5 linked regions of the Ovis aries genome follow. The protein of the gene in region 1 interacts with the protein of each later gene in a biochemical or structural test. Links are inferred from orthologs where the notes say so. Each region holds a gene or a part of one and is shown in the gene's direction. Other genes may lie near its edges.

What was found.
Region 2: the proteins of ERBIN (region 1) and ABCA1 interact in a test that uses a peptide from one of them, tested with the Homo sapiens proteins (2 studies listed by BioGRID and IntAct). The link is inferred for Ovis aries from reciprocal best matches to the Homo sapiens genes ERBIN and ABCA1.
Region 3: the proteins of ERBIN (region 1) and ARHGEF7 interact in a test that uses a peptide from one of them, tested with the Homo sapiens proteins (2 studies listed by BioGRID and IntAct). The link is inferred for Ovis aries from reciprocal best matches to the Homo sapiens genes ERBIN and ARHGEF7.
Region 4: the proteins of ERBIN (region 1) and SCN4A interact in a test that uses a peptide from one of them, tested with the Homo sapiens proteins (2 studies listed by BioGRID and IntAct). The link is inferred for Ovis aries from reciprocal best matches to the Homo sapiens genes ERBIN and SCN4A.
Region 5: the proteins of ERBIN (region 1) and MAPK12 interact in a test that uses a peptide from one of them, tested with the Homo sapiens proteins (2 studies listed by BioGRID and IntAct). The link is inferred for Ovis aries from reciprocal best matches to the Homo sapiens genes ERBIN and MAPK12.

The regions. Positions count from the first base shown.
Region 1 is NC_056069.1:13,660,983-13,664,565, reverse strand, and holds part of ERBIN (erbin), read left to right. Parts: intron 1-1,961; coding exon 1,962-2,105; intron 2,106-3,583. UniProt on the Homo sapiens protein: Acts as an adapter for the receptor ERBB2, in epithelia. By binding the unphosphorylated 'Tyr-1248' of receptor ERBB2, it may contribute to stabilize this unphosphorylated state.
Region 2 is NC_056055.1:18,101,137-18,105,192, forward strand, and holds the start of ABCA1 (phospholipid-transporting ATPase ABCA1), read left to right. Parts: upstream 1-1,178; 5' UTR 1,179-1,250; exon of another isoform or gene 1,251-1,392; intron 1,393-4,056. UniProt on the Homo sapiens protein: Catalyzes the translocation of specific phospholipids from the cytoplasmic to the extracellular/lumenal leaflet of membrane coupled to the hydrolysis of ATP.
Region 3 is NC_056063.1:84,832,228-84,836,426, forward strand, and holds the start of ARHGEF7 (rho guanine nucleotide exchange factor 7), read left to right. Parts: upstream 1-1,321; 5' UTR 1,322-1,372; coding exon of another isoform or gene 1,373-1,378; 5' UTR 1,379-1,827; coding exon 1,828-2,316; intron 2,317-3,074; coding exon 3,075-3,159; intron 3,160-4,199. UniProt on the Homo sapiens protein: Acts as a RAC1 guanine nucleotide exchange factor (GEF) and can induce membrane ruffling. Functions in cell migration, attachment and cell spreading. Promotes targeting of RAC1 to focal adhesions. May function as a positive regulator of apoptosis.
Region 4 is NC_056064.1:47,920,283-47,924,657, reverse strand, and holds the start of SCN4A (sodium channel protein type 4 subunit alpha), read left to right. Parts: upstream 1-1,497; 5' UTR 1,498-1,559; intron 1,560-4,375. UniProt on the Homo sapiens protein: Pore-forming subunit of Nav1.4, a voltage-gated sodium (Nav) channel that directly mediates the depolarizing phase of action potentials in excitable membranes.
Region 5 is NC_056056.1:225,546,901-225,551,236, reverse strand, and holds the start of MAPK12 (mitogen-activated protein kinase 12), read left to right. Parts: upstream 1-1,458; 5' UTR 1,459-1,592; coding exon 1,593-1,717; intron 1,718-1,788; coding exon 1,789-1,918; intron 1,919-3,929; exon of another isoform or gene 3,930-3,986; coding exon of another isoform or gene 3,987-4,091; intron 4,092-4,180; coding exon 4,181-4,239; intron 4,240-4,336. UniProt on the Homo sapiens protein: Serine/threonine kinase which acts as an essential component of the MAP kinase signal transduction pathway.

The DNA.
Region 1 (3,583 bases):
ATTGAAGCTTACTTGGCTTTTTTAAGTAGTAACCCCTTCTTCCCAACTTCACCAAAAACTGTACCTGGAACACAAACATAGAAAATAGATCTTACCTCAGAAATCTCAAGACTGACTGAATTAAACATATCAACAGATATTGCAAAGGAATAAAACTGTGTAAAATTATTCCTAATGTCAACATTTGCCAGTATTCCTTATTATATTAAAAACTGATAAGCACTCCATGTGATTAGTACAACATGATGATTTCCATTTTTACTTGCTGTTATACAACTATTAGCATGTAGTAAACAATGTCCAGGACATGTGTTCAGCACTTAATTGAACTTTGCACAGTGTGTTGATGTGTTTGGATAGGGTGCAGTTTTATGTGGATGTCTCTGTACAGGCCTAAATTCAAAGTCAGACCTATTCCTAACTTGTAGCCTTCTTTCTCAGTGAAATATTTATAAAAACCTCATATATGTTCAAAGATGACAGCAAAGACTTTGTTCCAAGATTAATATATTATTAAAAAGAGTCAATCAGACCACTCAAGTTAACATGTAAAACTGTGTTACAATGCATGGACGTGTGTTTTTTACATGTTTCTGTGTGATTATGTGTATAATTTATTTTTACTTTTTAATCAGACGTTTGGGGAACCTATGAATTGCCTCTGCCAAATCCTTATTCTTTGTGAAATGCTTTGAGAAAGTACGAGCCTGGTCTATTCAGCTTTTTCCTTGGTCTCTACTTTAGAATTCACAAAATACCTAAATTTGTTCATTGTAGTTTTATAGATTCTTTTCATTCTGAAATGTCATATTGTTTCTTTGTATAAGAGATCAACTTCATAATCTGGAGAAAGTAAATTCTTCCTAAGAGTAATACAGAAATGCTTATTATGGCCATAACAAGCGTTTGTGTATTTCTTACTAAGAAGCCATGTTCAAAATGAGGTTTCTCTTGGTTTGACCATCAGACCTTCAGTGTTTAGGGACATGACTAAAAGCATCCACATGTGAAAGGACTATTAATAGTGAACTCCGGGAATAACCAAGCAAGAACAGGAAGAATCAGGCAGTGCTTTTATTGAAGTACATTGTTCAGGCAACTCTGGGATTGGCGATTAGGCATTTATGTAAACTCAGTCATGGAAGGCATCTATCAGTGAAACTTGAAGGCTTCTTCAAGGTTAAACAGCAGAGCCACTACTGACTTCAAAAAATACAGTCACCTTTAATATCTATTTGAATGGGAAAAGAGTTTTGCATGTTCATTTTCTAGATTTATTGGAATTTTTTTTCCTGATAATTGCAGAGCATTAGGAGCCTTTTAAATATTATACCCTAAAAGTCTGTGTGTGTGTTAAACTTTTCTTTAAGACATTTTTTAAGTGTGAAAGGTAATTTTTATTAGAAATTACAAGAGCCAAGTATTTTTTTGCAAATACATTTTGTGCTATATTATATATATTTAAACTCTCCATTTACTTAATAAGACAATTTCTATAGAATGAAACATTCTCTCTATAAAACCATTTTGAGTTAGAAATAACTGAGTGTTGGTAAAGTTTGTCTTTACAAAGAAATTAGTTTGTATTCTGTGTAACCATATACATACAAATACATCTGGATGTGACATCAATTCCTATTTTCTGATGAACTTCTAATAAGATAGGTTAGAAGTAAAAAATAATAGCCTAAGAGCCAGCTGTATGTTTGCACTTTCTGTTTTGGTGTTTAAACATGTAAATGGTTGGGTTTACATATAATTTATGTATGTATACATATATGTTTTCATGTAAATATATGGTAAATGGTGCCAATTTCTTTCAGTGTCTCTGAAAATTCAGTGTTGCATGGTATTCCTGCGTGATCTGGGGGTTACTTGTATATATGTCTATGTGTATAACGTGTCTTGTGAATTTTGCATGCTACACTAATCTCTGTTAAATCTATCCCCTCTTTATTCAGAGCATGCTGTCAAGGTCCTTTAATTCCAATTTTACTGCTGTAAGCAACTTTCACTATGGCAGCTCTAGGGATCTGCATGGCAGCCAGGGCAGTCTCGCCTTGAGTGTTGCAGACGGAAGAGGTTCTGGTGGGCACACTTTTCGAGTGAGTACCTGCAGTAGATCAGTACTTCAGTACATAAATGAGAAAGAAGCCCACATTTCACGTTACCCAAGTGTTATTGACCAGAGTGTTTGAATATCCACTTGCATAACAAATCACCTGCCACAGGCATTAGTTTCTGCAAGAATCCCTGGGTCAATAATGTGTTAACAGTTCTAGAAAATAAATCTGTACTGTGGGTTAAATACCTTGATTACCTCCCAGTTCTTCCATGGCTTAGTTGTAAAGCTCTGCAAAGCTGATTTAGGCTTTACCTCTTTAAGTTTCAGTGGTCATAACTAAAGGTGTAGTCAGCTCTTATTTATGTAAAAAGGGATGAGCAATAGGAGTTGAAGAGGTTTTTTAAAAATTCTTTTTCTCTGCAGTGCTCTCTCAAAATTAGCTTGCTTTCCCTAACTCAGAGTTTTAATGCTGTGCCATGCATAATACATAGAGGGGTTGTAGGAATTAGCCTCCAATTAAAATAAATAAATTTAAATTAAAAAAATAATTTTCACTTTAGTGACTGAGAGTTGGCAAATAAATACCTGGAACTAAGTTTAATCGTAATTTGCAGAATATGATTAAATGTGAGGCAGGAGAGATTGCAATAAGTACCAGTGAAAAGGCAAAACCCAAATCCATTAACACCCACCTAATCATTTGTGGGAAGAAGGAAGGTTTATTCTTAATGAAAGTTAAGGGTAGGAGATAAGAAGGACAGAAAAGGAGAAAGAACAGAATAACTCTGGCTGTTATAAAATTTGTCTTTCCATAACAACTTGAGGTGGTAGCATGACCTCTAAGTAAATATTTCCTCTGCCCTTCCATCCTGAAAAGACCTTTCTCCCTTTGTAGAGCTTATTCTCTCCCACATAGTTTTATTTCCATACTGACCCTGCTTCTGGGTCCTTTGCTTTTGACTTGAGCGTCCCCTTTCTTACCACCCCCAGTCCCCTACTGCTGTTTCATACACTCCTGGCTTTAGTCTGTTGTTCTCTCGGATAGAAGCAGTATCCGGGGTTCACTTTGCTCTGCCTGGACCTCACTCATCTTGCTGTCCTCTGTCACCTGCTGCCACTGGGTTTCTGTGTTACACGTTAGTGGCAGCAATCGTTTTGTAACTTAGCAGTCTGAAACAGGGAGAGAGGAGATGATGGCTAGTAAGCCCTGCTTTTCTGGTGCTCTTTCTAGCTGAAGCCACGGGGTTATTAACTCAGGGATAATCTTTATAGTCATCTAGAGCAATTGTTTTTTACAAATTCTTGATCAGTAATATCTTTTGCTTGTTATTATTAAATTCAGAGTCTTTGAGTCTTGCACTTTAGCTTTTTCATCTGTAATGTACTTGTTCATTTAAAGATAGAGTTGTACATTCACACTTGAGTTTAAACTTCAAGCTGTGAGTTAAGTTGATGATTACACATTTCTGAAAACACATCTCAAAAATAGAAAAGGCAAATAAAGTATTCACTGTATAA
Region 2 (4,056 bases), on another chromosome or scaffold:
ACACACCTGCAGGTTCTTCTGGAATATGACAGAGCTGAGGATGGGAAGCAAAGTTGTCCAGGAGCCTGCTCTCCTGCTCTACCACTTTCTTGTCAAAACTCAAGTCAAAGCAAGTCTGGTCGTGAATCCACCCTTCCCAGTTGCTCCAAAGGTATCTCTGTCAAGTAGGAGGAACTTATTTTACAGTTTGTTAGCTTTATTTATGAGTTAAATATTGAGAGTTAAAGTATGTGGGCTCCCTTTGTACACTTGCTTCTGTTCCTCAGATGTTTCGGGCCCTCTTGCTCTTGACTGTCAAGGCCAAAGCCAGAGGAAGAAGCTGGAGAATTGGATGGTTATGTGATTTTCCAAGACTGCGATTCTCTAGTGGTACTTTGCAAATCTGTAGAAACCAAAATACAAGCCCACGTGTATTTATCTATTACTGCTGACTGACATGGTGAAAATAAAAAGGAAATTAGTCCACAATGCTGGGTTTTCTGTGGCCTCCTTCTCCCAGTTTGCTAAGGGAAGGAGCAAGACAGTTTTCAGGGGTCCTCCTGGGACTTGGGAGGCCCCAAATTGGGAACCCCAAAGGCTCTTGAATTCCAAAGTCAGGGTTTGCGGTGGAAAACAAAACCAGCCAGTTGAACAGAGGACTGTCCATCTTCTCCCCACTCTGGGCATTTAAAGGAAAAAAAAGACTAAAGGGTTGGCATCCTTAGGGGTTTTAGCCTAGCTTTCTCTTCCCCTTTCCTCTCCTCTCTCCGCCCCCAAGTCCCTCCAGCTGAGTAAATTAACAAAGGAAACAAAAGTTGCTGAAAGAACTAGTTTAGAGAAAGCGATTTTCACTCGTGCTGTTGGCTGCCCTGAACCTGGACTAGAGTCTCTGGAGGGCACAGTCCCAAGACCGCCGTTTGCCCCTGTTCCTGCGCTGGCGGGCCGGGCTGGGCCGAGCGGCGCGGACCTACGGCGGGGGTAGGCCGGCTGCACTCCGCCCCCAGCCCCGCGCGCCGCCGGACGTCGCCCGTTTAAGGGGCGGGACGCGGCTCCACGTGCTTTCTGCTGAGTGACTGAACTACATAAACAGAGGCCGGGAAGGGGGCGGGGAAGGAGGGAGAGAACAGGCTTTGACCGATAGTAACCCCAGCGCTCAGCGCCGCCGAATCTATAAAAGGAACTAGTCGCGGCAAAACCCCGGTAATTCCGAGGCAGAGTGAGTGCTGCCGGGGCCGGCAGGGACGCGCCGACACCTCTCTACCCCGGCGCAGGTGGGCAGAACAGGGGGCGCCGTGCAACCAGCGCCGCCACAGCCAATTTCTCGGGGCGCTTTGCTCCCTTTACCCCCCTTCTTTTCCGAAGGGTTTTTCAAGGGGTTGGGGAAAGAACCACAAACACAAAAGTGGAAAACAGGTAAGAGTCTCTTCAGCGACTTGGACGTTATTGTTTCGTTTCGGGCCGAGGGGACTTTGGGAAGCTCTGGGTGTCGGGGACTTTAGTCCGAACCCCCACATCCCCACCTCCTGCAGCACAAACGGGCTCGTAAATGTGGAGAGGACGTCCTAGGAGGAGCTCTGGCGACCCAAAGACGCGACATCGCTGCGCTCAGGGTTCGCCCGCGGTGGAGCTCGGGGAGCATCTCTGGGCGCGCGGAGACCCGAGCGCAGTAGCTGGGGCGCAGTGGAATCGGGGGGCTCCTGGTGGTGCTGGAGGCGCTGCTGCCGGAGTAGGGAGAATGGGAGGTCTGGCACTGAGCTATTCCCTTTGTTTGGAAGCGCCTGAGCCGGTTGGAACCCTCTCTGGCTGCGGCTCGGCCGGCGCCCACCGGGAAAAATGCCAGCCGTCAGAATCCCCTCTGTTCGTAAGGCGCTAGTCCGGGTTGGGCTCTGATCTGGGGATAGGTCCCCCGCGCCCCTGGACTGGAGCAGCGCTTTCTGGCTCACCAAGAATGCGACTGGGAGGTGTCCCAAACAGAGTCCTTAGCGCTAGTGCTCTTTTGAGGCCTCGGGGGCTTTGTTTGATCAGGGGGTTCCTGTTCCATAGTCTCCATACGCTTCCAGGAGGTGCTGCCTCTGACGCTGTGGGAGGCTGGGGATGGGGGTAGGGGAGACGGGCGGGGCGGAGGGACGAGAGTTTTGTTTCTTTAACAAACGTTAGAAGGGTCCCTGCGGAAACCTGGAGCTGAGGTGACCATTCCCCTGCCCCCCCTTCCCCCCATCTTCCTGCCCTTTGCTGAGTGTCTCTTGGAGCAGCTTCAGGGAGGGCATGGATGGGGAAGCTAGGGCGAGACGGTGCAGCAGAATGACCGAGAGTAACCCCGGCAGGCGGTGCAGAGCTCGCAGCTCCGCGGGCGGGCTGTGCTTCGTGGTGGGGGGAGGGAGGGCTGAGCGCCGGCTGCCGGTGGCCACGGGGGGAACTGATCCACAGCGCCTCCTGGCCGGGTGGCCTGGGAATCGGCTCCTTGGCCCGAGTGAGGCCAGGCTGCAAGAGGCTTTGTCGCCTGCTATGGTTCCGACCGAGATCCAAGGAAGACGGGTGATTGTAGACTGGGAGGAAACCTGGGGATCAGGCGAAAGTGCTTCTGCTTGTGTTTTAGATTGCTTCCCAACTCCCAGAGAGTTGCTAAATGGAAGGTTCTTGGGGTGTGCGTGGGCCAGTATTGTGTGTAGGTGCTTGTTTTTCAGCACTCATCGAAAAGAAGGGAATAAACAAGATAAAAGAAAACAGGGAGAGAAGGAAAAAGGGAGAGAAAGAAATGTAGCCCTGGAAATAATTGGCCTTTGTCTTTTGCAAAAGCGATACCATCAGCTTTTAAAACCAGAACTTTTCAGTGAAACAAGGAAGTGAGTGCGTGGTATATACATTCATATAATAGACGATAAATTTGATATTTAAAAAATTCCTTGGTGATAAAAATCAGCAAGTCACTTCCTAAGGACCGATTCCCACCTCCCATCAAAGAACACCTCATAAAAATTTGCAAGTTCAAAAGCAGAGTTTTAATGGCCCTTTAAACAATAGTGTGGGACCCAAACCTAAGTTTCGATCTTTTCAGACAAAATTTAAAACACACCTAAAGAAGTACTTAGTTTTTTATCTCCCCTTTTATTTCAGCCCATTTTCCTCATACTTACTACGAAATTAATGGAGGCTTTCTGTTGTTCTTGTCATTCTCTTTGAGACACTTATCCTAAATCAAGGAAAGTGTGAGAGCAAAGGGAGAAGGTTCTGGAGTAGAACCTCTTCTGATGGTAAATAATTTTCAAGTACAAAGTCTTCCTTGTCAGCCTATTCCCCAAGTACTCCTTGTTTGTGTGTTTTTTTTTTTTAACTTTTAATTTTACATTAAAGTATAACTGATTAACAATATTTGATAGTTTCAGGTGACAACAAAGGAACTTAGTCACACATACATGTATCCATTCCCAAATGCTCCTTTTATAGGAGCTTTAATGCTTTATGCTTTAAGTTAATTCATGATAGAGTTTTGGGAAAACATTAGATACACAGAGCAAGAAGCGGTAGAATTGGAGTGACAGCCTTGGATGACCACAGTTCAAGGGGTAAGAATTGCTACTGCAGTCAGAGTGATTCTTGAGCCCCCTTGCAGGGACCAGCCTGTTGTTCCAGAATGATGTATCTGATTGTGAAATGGACGCTTGTGATATGTGTCTCCCCTTCAGATGAGCGTTTAAAATCTCAGCTCTCAATTTACATCTACATAGAGGCCTATAATGAACCCTGGATACCTCTTGACTTAGGGCATATTTACAGTTCATGTGAGACTAGCTTAGATTGGAAAAGGGTGATTAGGGTTTGATTGTTTCCAACCTCTGCTCTTAATGATTACATTATTAAAAATGAATGAAACCAAATAAAACTCACTGACACAGTTTTTTATCTTCTGTAGTATTTATCTTGTATGCAGAGAAGTTGTAATATTTTTCGTTTAAATTTTTTTTAGGGGATCTTCCTTCCCATAAGCTAAGTTGCTTATGCTATATCCCGCATGATTGTAAATTGTTAATACCTTTGCTATTTTTATTTTCAGCTCCTAAAAAATTAAATGGACATTGC
Region 3 (4,199 bases), on another chromosome or scaffold:
GGTGCCGACGCGAGGGGGAGAGGGGACGTCTCCTGAGAGAGCCCGAGCCCTCTGAGGGCGAGCCGGGGACCTGGGGTCTTTCTGGGAGATTCCCTGAGCAGGTCTGTGGAGCAGCTGTACTCTCTCTTCAGGAGCCAGCTCTACTGGGGGAGACGTGGGTTTATGTCCTGCTCTTACCCAGAGGAGGCTTGCCCACCAGCAGCCTGCACGACTCCGTGGCTGACCACTCGGCAGGCGTGTCCTGCCCGTTGTGCTGGCTGTGGAGACGGCGTGGGTGTGCTGAGTGGCCTCTTTATCCTGGGGTTCAGGCCGGGGGAGAAGTTCCCGAGCGCCGTGCCCTGCTTATGCTGGAAGGTTCCTGAAGCTTCTGCTGGGACGTGAGGGCAGTGTCCTGTTCAGAGTGGCTGCTTGGGCTGGCTCTTGTTGGCCAGCGGCAGGACAGCGGGTCGGGGCGCCCACCCTGCGCCTGGGGAGGGGCCGAGCGGAGGCTGGGAGACTGCAGTCAGACGGGAGCCGGAGGGCGGCGTGGTCATCCTCTGGCCGGGGGCCTCAGAGCTCCTGCTCTGGCGGGCGGGCCACCCTGACCGAATCGCCCCGCCGTGGGTGCTGGTGGCGGCTGGCGTGTGGCGCCTCATCTCCTCCTCAGGGATGGGTGAGCCCTCCTGTGTCCGGTGTTAGTTCAGGGACCAAGCCTGATACCACGTGTGATGCTAAGTGTAAGGAAAGAGCGTGTCAGAGGGTGGTGTAGGGAGCGAGCGTGACGGCTGGGAGGTCGAGTTCGGCTCAGGCGCGTGACGGTCCGCCTTAGCCCTCCCGTGCGCTCGGCGGCTCCGGGCGCTGGGTGCTCGAGAACCTGCCTTCTCTGCTGCACAGGTGGGGCTGGGCGGGTGGACTTCTGTCTGGGAGCCTCGGTGCCCTGATGGACTGAGGTGACCACTGGCAGAGGGTCCACGGGCGGGCAGGCTTGTCTCCGAAGCGTGAGTGCCCCGGGGTAACTGTGCACTGTTATTCCCACTTTCTCTGAACCCTAAGATTTTTTTCTTCTGTTGAATACATTCCTGTTTCAGGAAGTAATTGGTTATCTTTCTCTAGAGAAGCCCTTTAGTCAAAACATCTTTGACTCAGAATGTGCGTCTTCCCCTCTCGGTGGCAGGCGCTTGTCTGGTCTCATTGTGTAGCTTCCTGTTGAGAAGTGTGGTGTGTGTGTGAATTCACTTAAGTTCTGACATCACTTTGGAGCCCATTGGTGGGCTGCTTCAGCCAACCAGACGCTTCCTGGTGTCCAAGTAAGATATATAGTTCTGGAATAACAGGAAACTTCAGCTTTCAACATCCTGTTTTTCTGGGTTTTGTGACTCTCTGCCTTACCACGATGAAGGTTAGTAGATACTTTTATGTATATTTTTTCTTGCAGAATACTACAATTTGAATTTTCCAAGCTCTGGAATTAGGACCTGAGAGCTGAGACTGCCTCCTCCCACCTTTTCCAGGAGAAGGAGCTTTTGTGTTCTGACAGAAGGGAGTGGAGGCCTGTTCAGGGCCCTCCTTTTAATAAAGAACTCAGCCAGCCCATTGCAGATGTAGCTGCACACGCCTGCCTGAATCACGGTCTCCTCTGACTTGAATCTTGGAATCACGGGGATTCCAGAGACTGTCCTAAGGGGTACTCGTTTTCATAGGCGGGCAGGATCTGGCATCACGAACGTTTTATCTCCTGCTCCATCTGCGAGAAAGGTGTGAGCAGTGTCGCAGAGTGCTTGGCTGTCTGAGTTCACGACTCTTCCCCTCTCCCAGCTCTGTTTGCGTTCCTCTCTCAACTTGGGTTTAATGGCCTCCTTTCTGGAGCTGGTTTGTTCAGCTCTTGGATTTTCTTTCTTTGGTTCACGTCTAAGCTCACCTCACGAGGATGTTTACTCATCTCAGAAGGTAAAGCAGGAGAGTGGGCCAGAGACGGCAGTGACTGTCGAGATTTGGAGCAGCCCTGTGTCCTGGGTCTGTCCTCACAGAGACCTTCCGAGCCGTGGCGGGGAGGTGGGATGGTGGGAGCCGGGCGGGTTGCTGCCTTCTTACTGTGTGCGGGCTGTTCTCTGGATGTGGGGGGTGAGGGCTGCGGGGCGGGTTTCAGTTTCTGCAGCGGCCTGTGCGGGGACTGTGCAGTGTGCTGAATCCTCCGGGGCTGCGCAGGGGGTGGGAGGCAGGAAGAGGAGCCGGGCTTCCTGGCAGGATGTGAGACGCAGGAACCGTGAACCAGCTGGGGCGACCTGCAGAGGACGCCGTTCCTGGGATGGCTGGCCGCCGGAGGTCACTTTTGCCCCGGTGAGAGAATCTTTGAAGTATGTTATCCTAGTTTTCATTTTGACATATGAACACATCTTTCTGTTACCTGCATCTCTGAAAGAATTTTCTTTCCCTACTTTCTCTGGCACAAGTTGTGGATCATCTGATGGTTAAATTTTTTGGTGGGGAGTTGTTGTTATTTAGTGATCCAAAGCTGTGTGTGATCTTCAGACAGCGTTTGGGAGTGAGGTGTGTGTGTCTCAGCCCGTGGTGTCTGTGCACACGTCCGAGACCGTGGCGCTCTGTCTGGGCAGCCCGACGTGCATTCTCTTCCAGCTCCTGGGCGGGCGGGGCTGGGCCAGTGCGGTTGTGTCCCTGGTCTCTGGGGTGGAGGCGCCCCTCTTTCTGGAGTCTGGCTCCCCGCTTCCTCTCCCTCGACCCTTGTGTCCACTCCAGCATCTGGGCTTCCCTTTGGCTGCTCCTGACTTTGGCCTGGGCTGTGACCGGGAGAGGAAGTCTGTCGTAGGCATGCCCAGCAGCCTTGGCCTCAGTCTAAGGAGAAGAGCCCTCTCTGAGTGCCAGGAGTGCCCCAGGTCGCTGGGAGGGTGGGGCAGGGTGGTTCAGAACTGGACTCAGCCCCAGGAGCAGAGTGGCCCGGCCTCCTGGAAGCTGAGCTCCTCGGGTGCCCTTGCCCGGGTCTCACCTGCAAAGCCCACTGTCTTCCTCCCGCTGCACAGACTGCCACGCCCCGCCAGTGCCGGGCTCGGCTAATTCTGCTTATTCTCTTTCCCTTGCAGACGTTTGATGCAAACGATTTGTATCAGGGGCAGAATTTCAACAAGGTCCTCAGCTCCTTAGTGACGCTGAATAAAGTAACAGCAGGTAAGTGTCTTTCTGCTGAACCTGAGGGGAGGGGAAGCCACGGGCAGAGACCGCGCCCTCCTGTCAGCAGGCAGGAGCTTAGAAAAGGACCGCGCTAAGCTCTTGGCTGTGGCTTTGCTGCGATGCTATTCTTTTTCCTTGTCAGAGCAGCTCTTCCTTTTCGGGTCCCCGTGTGTCTTGGTGCTTCCCCTCCTCTGCCTGAGCGAGCAGCAGAGTGGCCTCGTCCACGGGTGCACTCATGGGCTGTCCTGGCCCCTCGGATGGGGGCGCTCTGCCCTCACTGTGTGGGGAGGAGTGGGCCCGAGGGACCACTCCCAGGGCCCTCAGGCGCCCACAGCTCTAGGCTGGGCTTCTGTGCTTGACCTTGGCTTGCAGTGGAGACTCTTGGCGGTTGCAATGGCAGCACCTCAGGTCAAGCTGAATTAGGACCCGGGTGAGTGAGTGTAGACAAGGGTGGAGGTCTGGATTCTGGAGCAGAGGTGGGCTCAGACGGACGTCAGCACTCCACCCGGAGCAGGCCTTGCAGGAGGAGATCTGTGGCATCTCATGAAGGTTGTCCGTCAGGCAGCACGCTGCTCCTGCCGGCAAACCCCCCCCCCCCCCGCCCCGCCCCGCCCCGTGAAGGGATGGGCTTGATGTGAGCACTCAGCAAGAGGGTGGCCGGCTGTGAGCGGCCAGGCTGGCTCTGAGAACCGTGCTTCCCCCGTGACTCCATGCCCCGGCCCAGCCCAGCCACCCCTGGCTGCCAGGACCACGGCTGATGCGCTGTCCTGGGGCTGGACGTGCGCTCGGGCCACAGGCAGGAGCAGCTTCGGTAGATACAGACCCCACGCGAGGCTGGAGGCGTCTGTTTCCGGGGTCGGAGGCTGCTTCTGCTCCGTCCACCAGGTGGCGATGCTCGGTCATCGCGGCGGGAGTGCGGGGCTCCACACGCCCCGTGCAGACACGGGCCGGGGCCGACACGGGCCGGGGCCGTGTCTCCAGGGCGCCCGTGCCGTCGCTCTCACCCCGTCTGGTGCAGACGTGTGTCACGTGTGCTC
Region 4 (4,375 bases), on another chromosome or scaffold:
GTTCGAAGTCTGGGCAGAGCAGGAACTTCTCAGACCACAGCCAGGCCTGGCCCCCAGGGAGGGGCTGGACTGTGCTGAAGCTGGAACCGCAGAGAGCCTCTGGGAGGAGAGGCACCATGGGGCCAGCTCCCCGGGCTTCCCTCTGCCTCTTGCAAAGGTCACTCTGGCCTGGGCTCAGCTTAGACAGAGGTCTGGCTGCCAGAAAAGCCAGTGGCAGTTAGGGGTATGGGAGACTGGGGGACGTTTTGGGGGACGGTTTCTGTGGATTCACTCAAGAGATTCTCTTGTTTGCCCCGGGGCAGGAGCTAATGAGCAAGAGGTGGGTCCTTTCTAGACACCTCCACTAGAGGTCACCACAGCCCCAGAGTGGAAGTGGGGGAGGGGGCTAAACTAAGGAACATCCCTCCCCCCCCCAACTTCGAGGGACAGATGTCTAGTCAGTGGGGTGGGGCAGTGTTGGTAGAGAAATGACCCTCAGGGCTGCTGTGTGGTCCAGCTAAGCAGCTGTGTTGGGGGGAGGAGCTCATGGGTGTGAGATGTGGGTGTGGGCATATAGACAGACACACACTTGATAAAATCCTAGTCACCAGAGACGTGCCTGGTGGTCCAGGGGCAAGAAACTCCGCACACTGGGGAAAGCACGGGGCCCAGGTTCGATCCCTGGTCAGGAAACTAGACCCCACACACCACAGCTGAGATCCCGTGCAATCAAATAAATAAATAAAATCAATATTTAAAAGAAATATAACGACCATAGGTACATATAGGTGGCCCTGTGTACATGTGAATGGAAGCATGTTACGTGGGCACAGACAAACACCCGGGTATAAATAACAGGCCTGAAATGCCCAGTTGCATGGGCATGACAGTGGTGTGTGCACACACTCGATACAACTGTAGTGTCTGGGATATGCAACATCTGTGCTCATCTGGGCAGAAGAGTGCACGTGGCTGCATGCGTGTAATAATACACATCTGTGCACAAACCTGCTGTGAGCGTGGGAGTGTGCCTATGTGAGTAGCAGGTATGCATTTGAATAAGTGTGACACGCAGTGGAAGCATTTGTGTGACTGTGTGAAGGGTATACTTTACGTGCCCAGCTGAGCATGTATGAGTGTGACAGTGGGCAGGGGGGAACGCAGCCGTGAGTGTGTAGAGTGTGCCAGCCAGTGTGTGTCCTGGGAGTGCTTCTGGGAACGAGTGTGAAAGGAGAGTCCTGTACAAGAATGAGCCTGTGGGCTCAGGCTCATGGCCACACAGTGGGCGTGTGTGCGTGGGTGTGTGTGAGAGAGTGGACGGACGTGTTGAGTGTGTCACGCTCTGGGTCAGCGGTCCCCCAGCCCAGGCAGTCCCAAGCCGAGCCCCGGGCACCCATGAGGCAAGCGCGGCCCAGGCTCCCACCTGAAGATTGGCCGGGTCCTCAGGTTTCACTCATGACCCTGTGACATCAGCGGCAGCAGCTGTCCCCGCCGGCCGGCCCCCCGGCCAAGTCCCCCAGAGTCTCAGCCCCAGCCCGAGGTGGGCACGCCGCTCCGAGCTTGTCTGCTCCCGTCCAACAGTGAGTACCGCGTCCCCGCCCTGAGCCCCGCCGGGCCAGGCACCCCAAAGGCAGGCCACCCCCAGGGGCCCAGTGCCCTGGCCCCCAGCCCAGCCTGGCTCTGAGGAAGTCACCGCTTTGCTCCAGGCACCACTGTCCTCCTGCCCACGCCGGGCCCCGCTCCGCGGACACCCTGCCCGAGCTCCTTGTGCCACGACCCCGGCCGGATCCCTGTGCTTGCCTCTCCCTGCCCAGTCGGCCTGTGCCCCTGTCTGGCTGGCCAGCCCTGCCCTCAGCCAGGGTCGTCGTCCTGATCACAGACGGCCCAGGGGCTAAGGCTCGGCTCCAGACGGGGTGACCCAAGGGACAGAGATGGGACTGAGTTTCTCAGGGGAGGAGGGTGGAGGGCCCAGAGCAGTGACTCGGCTCGGCCTGACCGCAGTGGCCCAGAAGGCAGGGCTGGCGGCGGGGAGGAGAGCGGGAGGCCGGCTGGGGGGTGGCGGCGGCTCCTTTGCTCTGCTGGAGCAGGAATCTGCGAGATGCCAGCAGAGGACACATCTCGGGCTGAGAGGCCGGCTGGGCTCTGCCCACTGCCCCTGCCTCTCCCTGCCGCGGGGCACACTTGGGCTCCTCTCCTGGAGAAACCAAGGGGGAGGTGGGCAGAGGAGCAGCTCCTCTTAGTGAAGGGGGTGTGGGGACAGGGAGCCAGAGAGTCCAGGGTGAGGGGCATCCCACATGGGGCCGCCGCACTGAAGGGTCTCTGCGGGACTCAGAAGGAGACTGGGGCTGGGGTCAGTGGGCTGGAGTGAAGGGGCAGGGGTGCGTCACCAGGGCAGAGCACAGACACCCCTCCCCCCTTCGCTGACAGAGCTGGGCACCCAGGACCCTAGGAGGGAGCGTGGGCAGGGGCTGGCCAAGAAGGCCTGATGGTCTGAGCAGAGATGAGAGAAGGTGTTTTTGGAAGCTCATGGAGCTGAAGGGAGGTGTGTTTTGTGTGTGTTGGAGGAGTTTGTTCAAAAGGTCGAAGATGCCACATCTAGAAGGCCTGGGGAGGGGGGTGGGACGGGAGGCTTCCAAGAATGTACTGGTAGGGGCAGGGGGCCCTGAGCCCCTTCCCACTCCGCCCCGTCAAGTACTGTGTCCCACTGCCCCTCACCCTGCTCAGGGCATGGGGTCAGGGCAGGGGGCCAGGTCCTGATGAGAGCTTGTGACACCCCGCTGTGGGGAGATGGCTTTCCAGGTGGAGACTAGACAGGTCCGCCTCCGACTTATACTGTCTGCTGCAGGCGTCTGCCCCAGAGCCCAGGAAGGCTAGAGCCCAGGGGAGCCTTGACATGATGTAATTGTCGCTCTCTCTTGTCCGCCTCTTTGCGACCACATGGACTGTAGCCCACCAGGTTCCTCTGTCCATGGGATTCTCCAGGCAAGAATACTAGAGTAGGTTGTGATGCTTTCCTCCAGGGGATCCCCCAACCCAGGGATCAAACCTGCGTCTCCTGTATCTCCTGCACTGCAGGCAGGTACCTTACCGCTGAGCCACCTGGGAAGGCTTGAAGGCCATTTAATTCGGCCCCTAAAGATGCGCCAGGTCGGGGAGGGCAGCGAGAGACCAGTTTCCGTGTCTGTCTAGTCTGGTGAGGGGAGGAGGCTGACAGAAGTTAGGGCAGAACAAGAGGTGAGCGTTGTTGTCACTTGTCTAGGGCGGCAGTGACTGAACCCAGGTGTGCAGAGCTGGGGTTGGGGGCAGGTGTCAGAGGGCTGCTTCTCCCAGAACCCTCCAGCTTTTTCCAGGGTCATAGCTAGTCCCCTGCTCGTGGCCAGTGGTGTGGATGATTATACACACTGCACCAGGATTTGGAGCCACGTTCCCTGTGTGGGGTGATGCAGGGGCCCAGACATAGCCCAAGGCCCACTCCATCTTCATGCCTGGCAGCTCTCAGGGGATGGGAGGGGTTTGGGGAAGGTACTTAAGGGTCCTTCCTAGGTGGTCCCATCCCTGCCTGGCTTCCTTGTCATTCTTGCATCGGGACCTGCTTAGGGTGGAGGCTCAGGACTCAGGGTCGCCTCCAGCTCTAGACTGGCCTGAGTGTCAAAGTCTGCCCAGCCGGCTTCCCTGCCCTGACCCACCCAGGCCCAAGGGTAGGGGAGCCCTGAAGCTCATGCTGAAGGCATTGAACTCCTGGCCAGATGCTGGAGGTGGTCCTGACAAAGTCCCTGCCTTTGGGGGCAACTCTGTCCACCAGAACAGAGAAAAGCATGGGTGATGGCAGGAAAGGGTGGGTTTAGAGAAGGCTCCCAGGGGAGGCAAGGCAGAGAGGAGAGAAGGGATTGGACCCTCCAGACCAGTGGGAAGTCTCACTCTCTCCAGGTGATAGGAGAGATGCCTAGAGGGAAAGATCTGAGCCCAGGGGCCTTGGCGAGCAGGTAGAGAGAAGGCGGGGGCAGGAGGAGGGAGCGTCAGCAGCCCCAGTCCACATGACACAGACCTCTGTCCCTCGAGTCCTCTTAGAGGGAAGGCTCAGGTTCAGAGGGCCCTGTCACTTACCTGGGGCACAAGGCTTGTGAGGGGCCACGGCCCCTACTCCCTGGGGCAGAGCTCGCCCCCGAGACCCTGGGGGCAGTGGGTCCCCGGTTGCATCCCTAGGGGTCCCCAACTCTGCAGTGGCAGGAACAGGCCCAGACTCCCCACGGCTCCACTGGAAGGTGCTCGTGGGGCTGGGGAATCCCAGGGTCTCTCCGCCTCCGCCACCCCAGCCCCAGGCCTTTCATGTGCTCTGGCCCCCATTCTGCCTCGTCAGCACAGCTATTTTTATTCCCTACAGTTTTCAGTCAACAGC
Region 5 (4,336 bases), on another chromosome or scaffold:
TTCCAGGTCAAGGAGGGCTGCCCACTGAGTGATCAGCCCCTGCTGCTCCCTGCAGCTCAGGCTGGGAAGGCCCAGGCCCCACTGGGGACCAGGCAGAGTGTCCCTAGTCTGGGGACATCCCGTGCCTTTGCCCCGGGCCTTGGGAGGGCTGTGGGGATCATCTGGGAGCTGGGCCTGCAGAGAGGCCTGGTCAGCTCGGCTGCTTGGCCTCAAGTCTTGGAGGACCCCCAGAGACTAGACTGCGCTGAGTCCTGGGGGCGGGGCAGGAGCAGCAGAACCCTTCTGGAGCCCTGTACCTCAATGCCTGGAGTCAGGGGGTCAGCTGGGGGCTTCCTGGAGGAGGCAGGTGGGGTACCACAGGACATGAGGGGCACGGGCAAACGTGATTGTGGCTCCAGGGATCCCAGGCTACGGCCGTGGACCAGCCTGCAGCTCCTGAGCGCCGGCTCGCTGCGGTGGAGCAGGTATAAAGCTGCTCGGGCCAGCGAGCTGCAGGGTTGCTGATCAATGGCGTAGGGCACAGAAGGTGGCTGGGGCCCCCGGGCATCTTGTAACCCCGCTGTGTCTCAGGCCTGGGTCACTGGGCTGGGGGAGCGGATGGAGGAGGCTCTGACGCATGAAACGATAATGCCCCCTTCTAAAGTTAAGTGGGTGCCCCTTCGCCTTGGGGGTCGGACGTACCTTCCTGAGGCGAGTGAGCCGCTCTGGCTGTGTTTTAAAGAGTAAACCTGGGGCCTGGGCTGGATGGGGCGGGACCTGCACGGCACCTTGCACATCTCTGGGCAGTCTCCCCAGCCAGGTGGGGGGCCTGCAGGACCACCCTCTGCTCCAGCGTGGTAGGTGCCCTGAGTTTGGGAGAGGGAATCAGCTTCTTCACAGGGAAAGGGGGATAGAGGCAAGATGGGTGGAACGGAGCTGGCGGTGGGAGGGTCAGCCCAGGGTGAAGGGGCATCCTGGGGTGGGCAGTTGGTGCTCCAGTGCTCAGGTCAGGTCAGGTGCCTCAGGGTGGGAGTTCTCTGGTGCAGGGAGGAAGTTGGCGGGACTGCTGGACGGTGATTTGGGGATGGGGGTAGAAGCTGACAAGCTCAGGCGGCCAGGACGGGCCAGCGCCCCGGGGCGCGGCGGGAAGGAGGAAACACGAGACCCACGGGCTTCCCGCAGAGACACCGCGCGCTCGGCCCGGGGAGTCCAGCCCGAGGGCGGAGCGCGGAGGCAGGCCGGTCCGGGCGCCGCGTCGGCTCCGGGCCCGGGGCCGCCCTGAGCGGCGGCGCTCCCCTCCCCCGCCTCCGGCCTCGCGGGCGGCGCCGCCTCAGGTTTCCGGAGGGGCCGCAGGGCGGCGGCGCGGGGCCGGGGGGAGGGCGGGGGCGTCACGTGCGCCCGGGCCCCGGGCCGGTTGGTCATGCCGCAGGGGAGGGGCCGCGGGCGGCCCAGGCGGGGGCCGGGGTCGGAGCTCCGGACGGGACAGCCAGGAGCCGGGTTCCCCGGCGGCGGCGGCGGCGGCGGCCCCGGGTGCGCGCCGGGTCCCCCCGTGGATTCCGGGCCCCCGGCCCTCGAGGCACGGGGTCCGCGGCGGGGGCGGTGCCCGGCCAGCCATGAGCTCCCCGTCGCCCGCCCGCAAGGGCTTTTATCGCCAGGAGGTGACCAAGACGGCCTGGGAGGTGCGCGTCGTGTACCAGGATCTGCAGCCCGTGGGCTCCGGCGCCTACGGCGCCGTGTGGTGAGTGCAGGCCGGGCGGGGCGGCCGGGCGTGGGGTGTCCCGGCCCCTCGCTGAGCTGTGCGCCCCGCAGCTCGGCGGTGGACAGCCGCACGGGCGCCAAGGTGGCCATCAAGAAGCTGTACCGGCCCTTCCAGTCCGAGCTGTTCGCCAAGCGCGCCTACCGCGAGCTGCGCCTGCTGAAGCACATGCGCCACGAGAACGTGAGTCCCGCCCGGGCCGCCGCTCCGCTCCCCGCCGCCGGCTCCAGGCCCCCGCCGGCTCCAGGCCCCCGCCGGCTCCAGGCCCCCGCCCGGGAGACCCCTGGGCCGCTCTTGGGGTGGCGGGGCGGGGGCCGTGGGTCGGGCCGTGTCCCTGAGCGTGCGGGGTCGAGAGGACAGCTTCCTGGTTTCTCGACCGCTCCGCCTGGGCCAGTCCCGCGGCCGCCTCTGGCTCTTCGGCCCAGGGCCTGCTTGCGGATGGCCCAGGCCGCGGCGCTCCAGCCCTGCTCGCTGGCAACCTTGACTTGAGCCCCGGGGACCTCAGCGGGTAGGAGGGGTTTTCCTGGAAGGTCCCCCTCCCCGCGCTGGCCGGCTGCCCCCTCCCTGCTTCTCCAGCTCCTCTCCTTACCCAAGTCTGCCTCCTGAGCCCCTGGGGCTGCGGCAGCTGGGAATGTGGAGGAAGGCAGAATTAGAGTTGTCAGCTCCCTCAGAGCGCCTGGGTCTCTGACGGTGAAGGGGTTCAGTGAGCTGTGTGTGGAGGGCACCGGGCACCCACAGGCACACAGACCCTTCCTGTGACGCCCACGCCCACAGTGTGAGGAAGGGCCGGCCACCACCGGGGAGGGGTCTCCTCTGTTTCCAGACCTGCCCACAGGAGACCCCACGAGGCTGCCACAAGCCTCTGCCTGCACAGTGCGGGCCGCAGAGGGCCCTTCCGTTCTCGTCCATGCAGTTCCTCCTGTGACCCTGAAAGCTGCCCGCTTCCCCGCCCGCAAGCCTCTCCTGCCCAGTCTGAGGGTGACCTGGGTGCCCAGACCCTGGCCAGTCATGGCGGGCTGGCACCTCCTGGTCCGCACGTCCACCAGGAAACTCCCCTCAGCTCCAGGGCCCACCCACTCAGGGCCTCGGGTGGGTCCTGCTCTCATTCCCGGGTGGAATCCCCTTTGTGGAGGATACCCGCCGAGCGCCAGCGTTGCTACCTGCAGGCCACACCTGCTCACACGTGGGACTTGTCCACGTGAGGACCGACCCCTCTGCAGTGCCTTCCTGTGGTCCCCTCCCTCCCAGCCATGCTCCCCGCCTTGCCCCGGCCTGTCCACTCTCTCCCTGGGCTCCTGCCCTGTGGCCTCCCAGCCCTGTCCTTTCTCCGGCCTCCCCACTGCTGCTGCTCTCTGCCTTCCCCCAGACCTCCTGACTGCCCCCCTGCTGCCCCCCTTAGCTGGGAGGCTCTGCCTTTCATGACCCCGTGTTCCTGGGAAGAAATGGTCTCCGAGAGGCTGAGGCGTGCCCCAGTCCTGCCCGTCCTGTGCCCACCTCCCCCCCTTTACCCCAGCCCCTCACCTCCAGCACTGGCCTCCCTGTGCAAGGCAGAGGCCTGGAAGTTTCCATCAATCTGACATACCTCCCCCGAACCTCCGGGATCCTTGCTGAAACCACGTCCTGACACTTCTCCTGCCTCTGGCCCCTCTCTGAGTGTCCCCGCCTCTTCACCCAGGTCTGGCCCTGGAGGCTGCGGCAGTCATGGAGGTGTCCCTCCGCCTCGTGTCCACTGTGTCCCTGCACCGCAGCCAGGGCCGCACCCAGCGGCATGCCCGCCTAGCGCCCTGCGGTGGCTCCTGGGATCCGGGCAGCCCTCACTTGGTGTCTTGGGCCCTCTCGGTTTCCTCGGCTTCTCCTTGGCGGCTCCCTGGCCTGGTTCTTGGCCACCTGGCCTCTCTCCCGTGTTCCTCAAGTGCTCTGAGCCCTCTGTCTCCTGCCTCGGCCACCACTCGTGTGGCCTCTGCCAGGCCTGCCCCCTGCCAGCACGCCCACCTGTCCCTCCAGCCGCTTGGATGTGCAGGCTTCACGGGGTCCCTGGAGGCCTGGGTGCCAGCTGTCACACTTCCCATGTGCTCTGTCGCCCCCCGAGGGGAGGCCTGCGGGGCTGTGAGTTTGCTCCTAGTGCTGCCTGCCTGGACCCGTCTGGCAGAGGCATGGTCCCTGCTAAGGGCTGGCTGCCCCCATGCTGGTCCTGGGTCTTCAGCAGGGACAGGAAGAGCGGGGAGGACAGGCCAAGGGCTGAGCTCCTTCGATGGCTGGGGGCTGCCCTGGACTTGAGGCTGCCCCTCCCCCAGAGGGTGCCCGCGGTCTCCATCCAGAAATAGCCTTTGTCTGTGGGCATGTTTACCAGAGCAAGGTAGAGCTGCCAGTGGGCAGAGCTGGGCGCATGGGCAGCTGCAGGGGTGCCTGAGCCCCCGCCCACCCGGCGCTTGGCCTCCTCCCCAGGTGATTGGGCTGCTGGACGTGTTCACGCCCGATGAGACACTGGATGACTTCACGGACTTGTGAGTGCCAGCCCGGGGCTGGCCGGGTAGGGAGCTGGTGTTGGGTGACTCCTGGGTGTCAACTTCAGGTTTGGGGTTGGCGGGGGCCCCTTGAGGC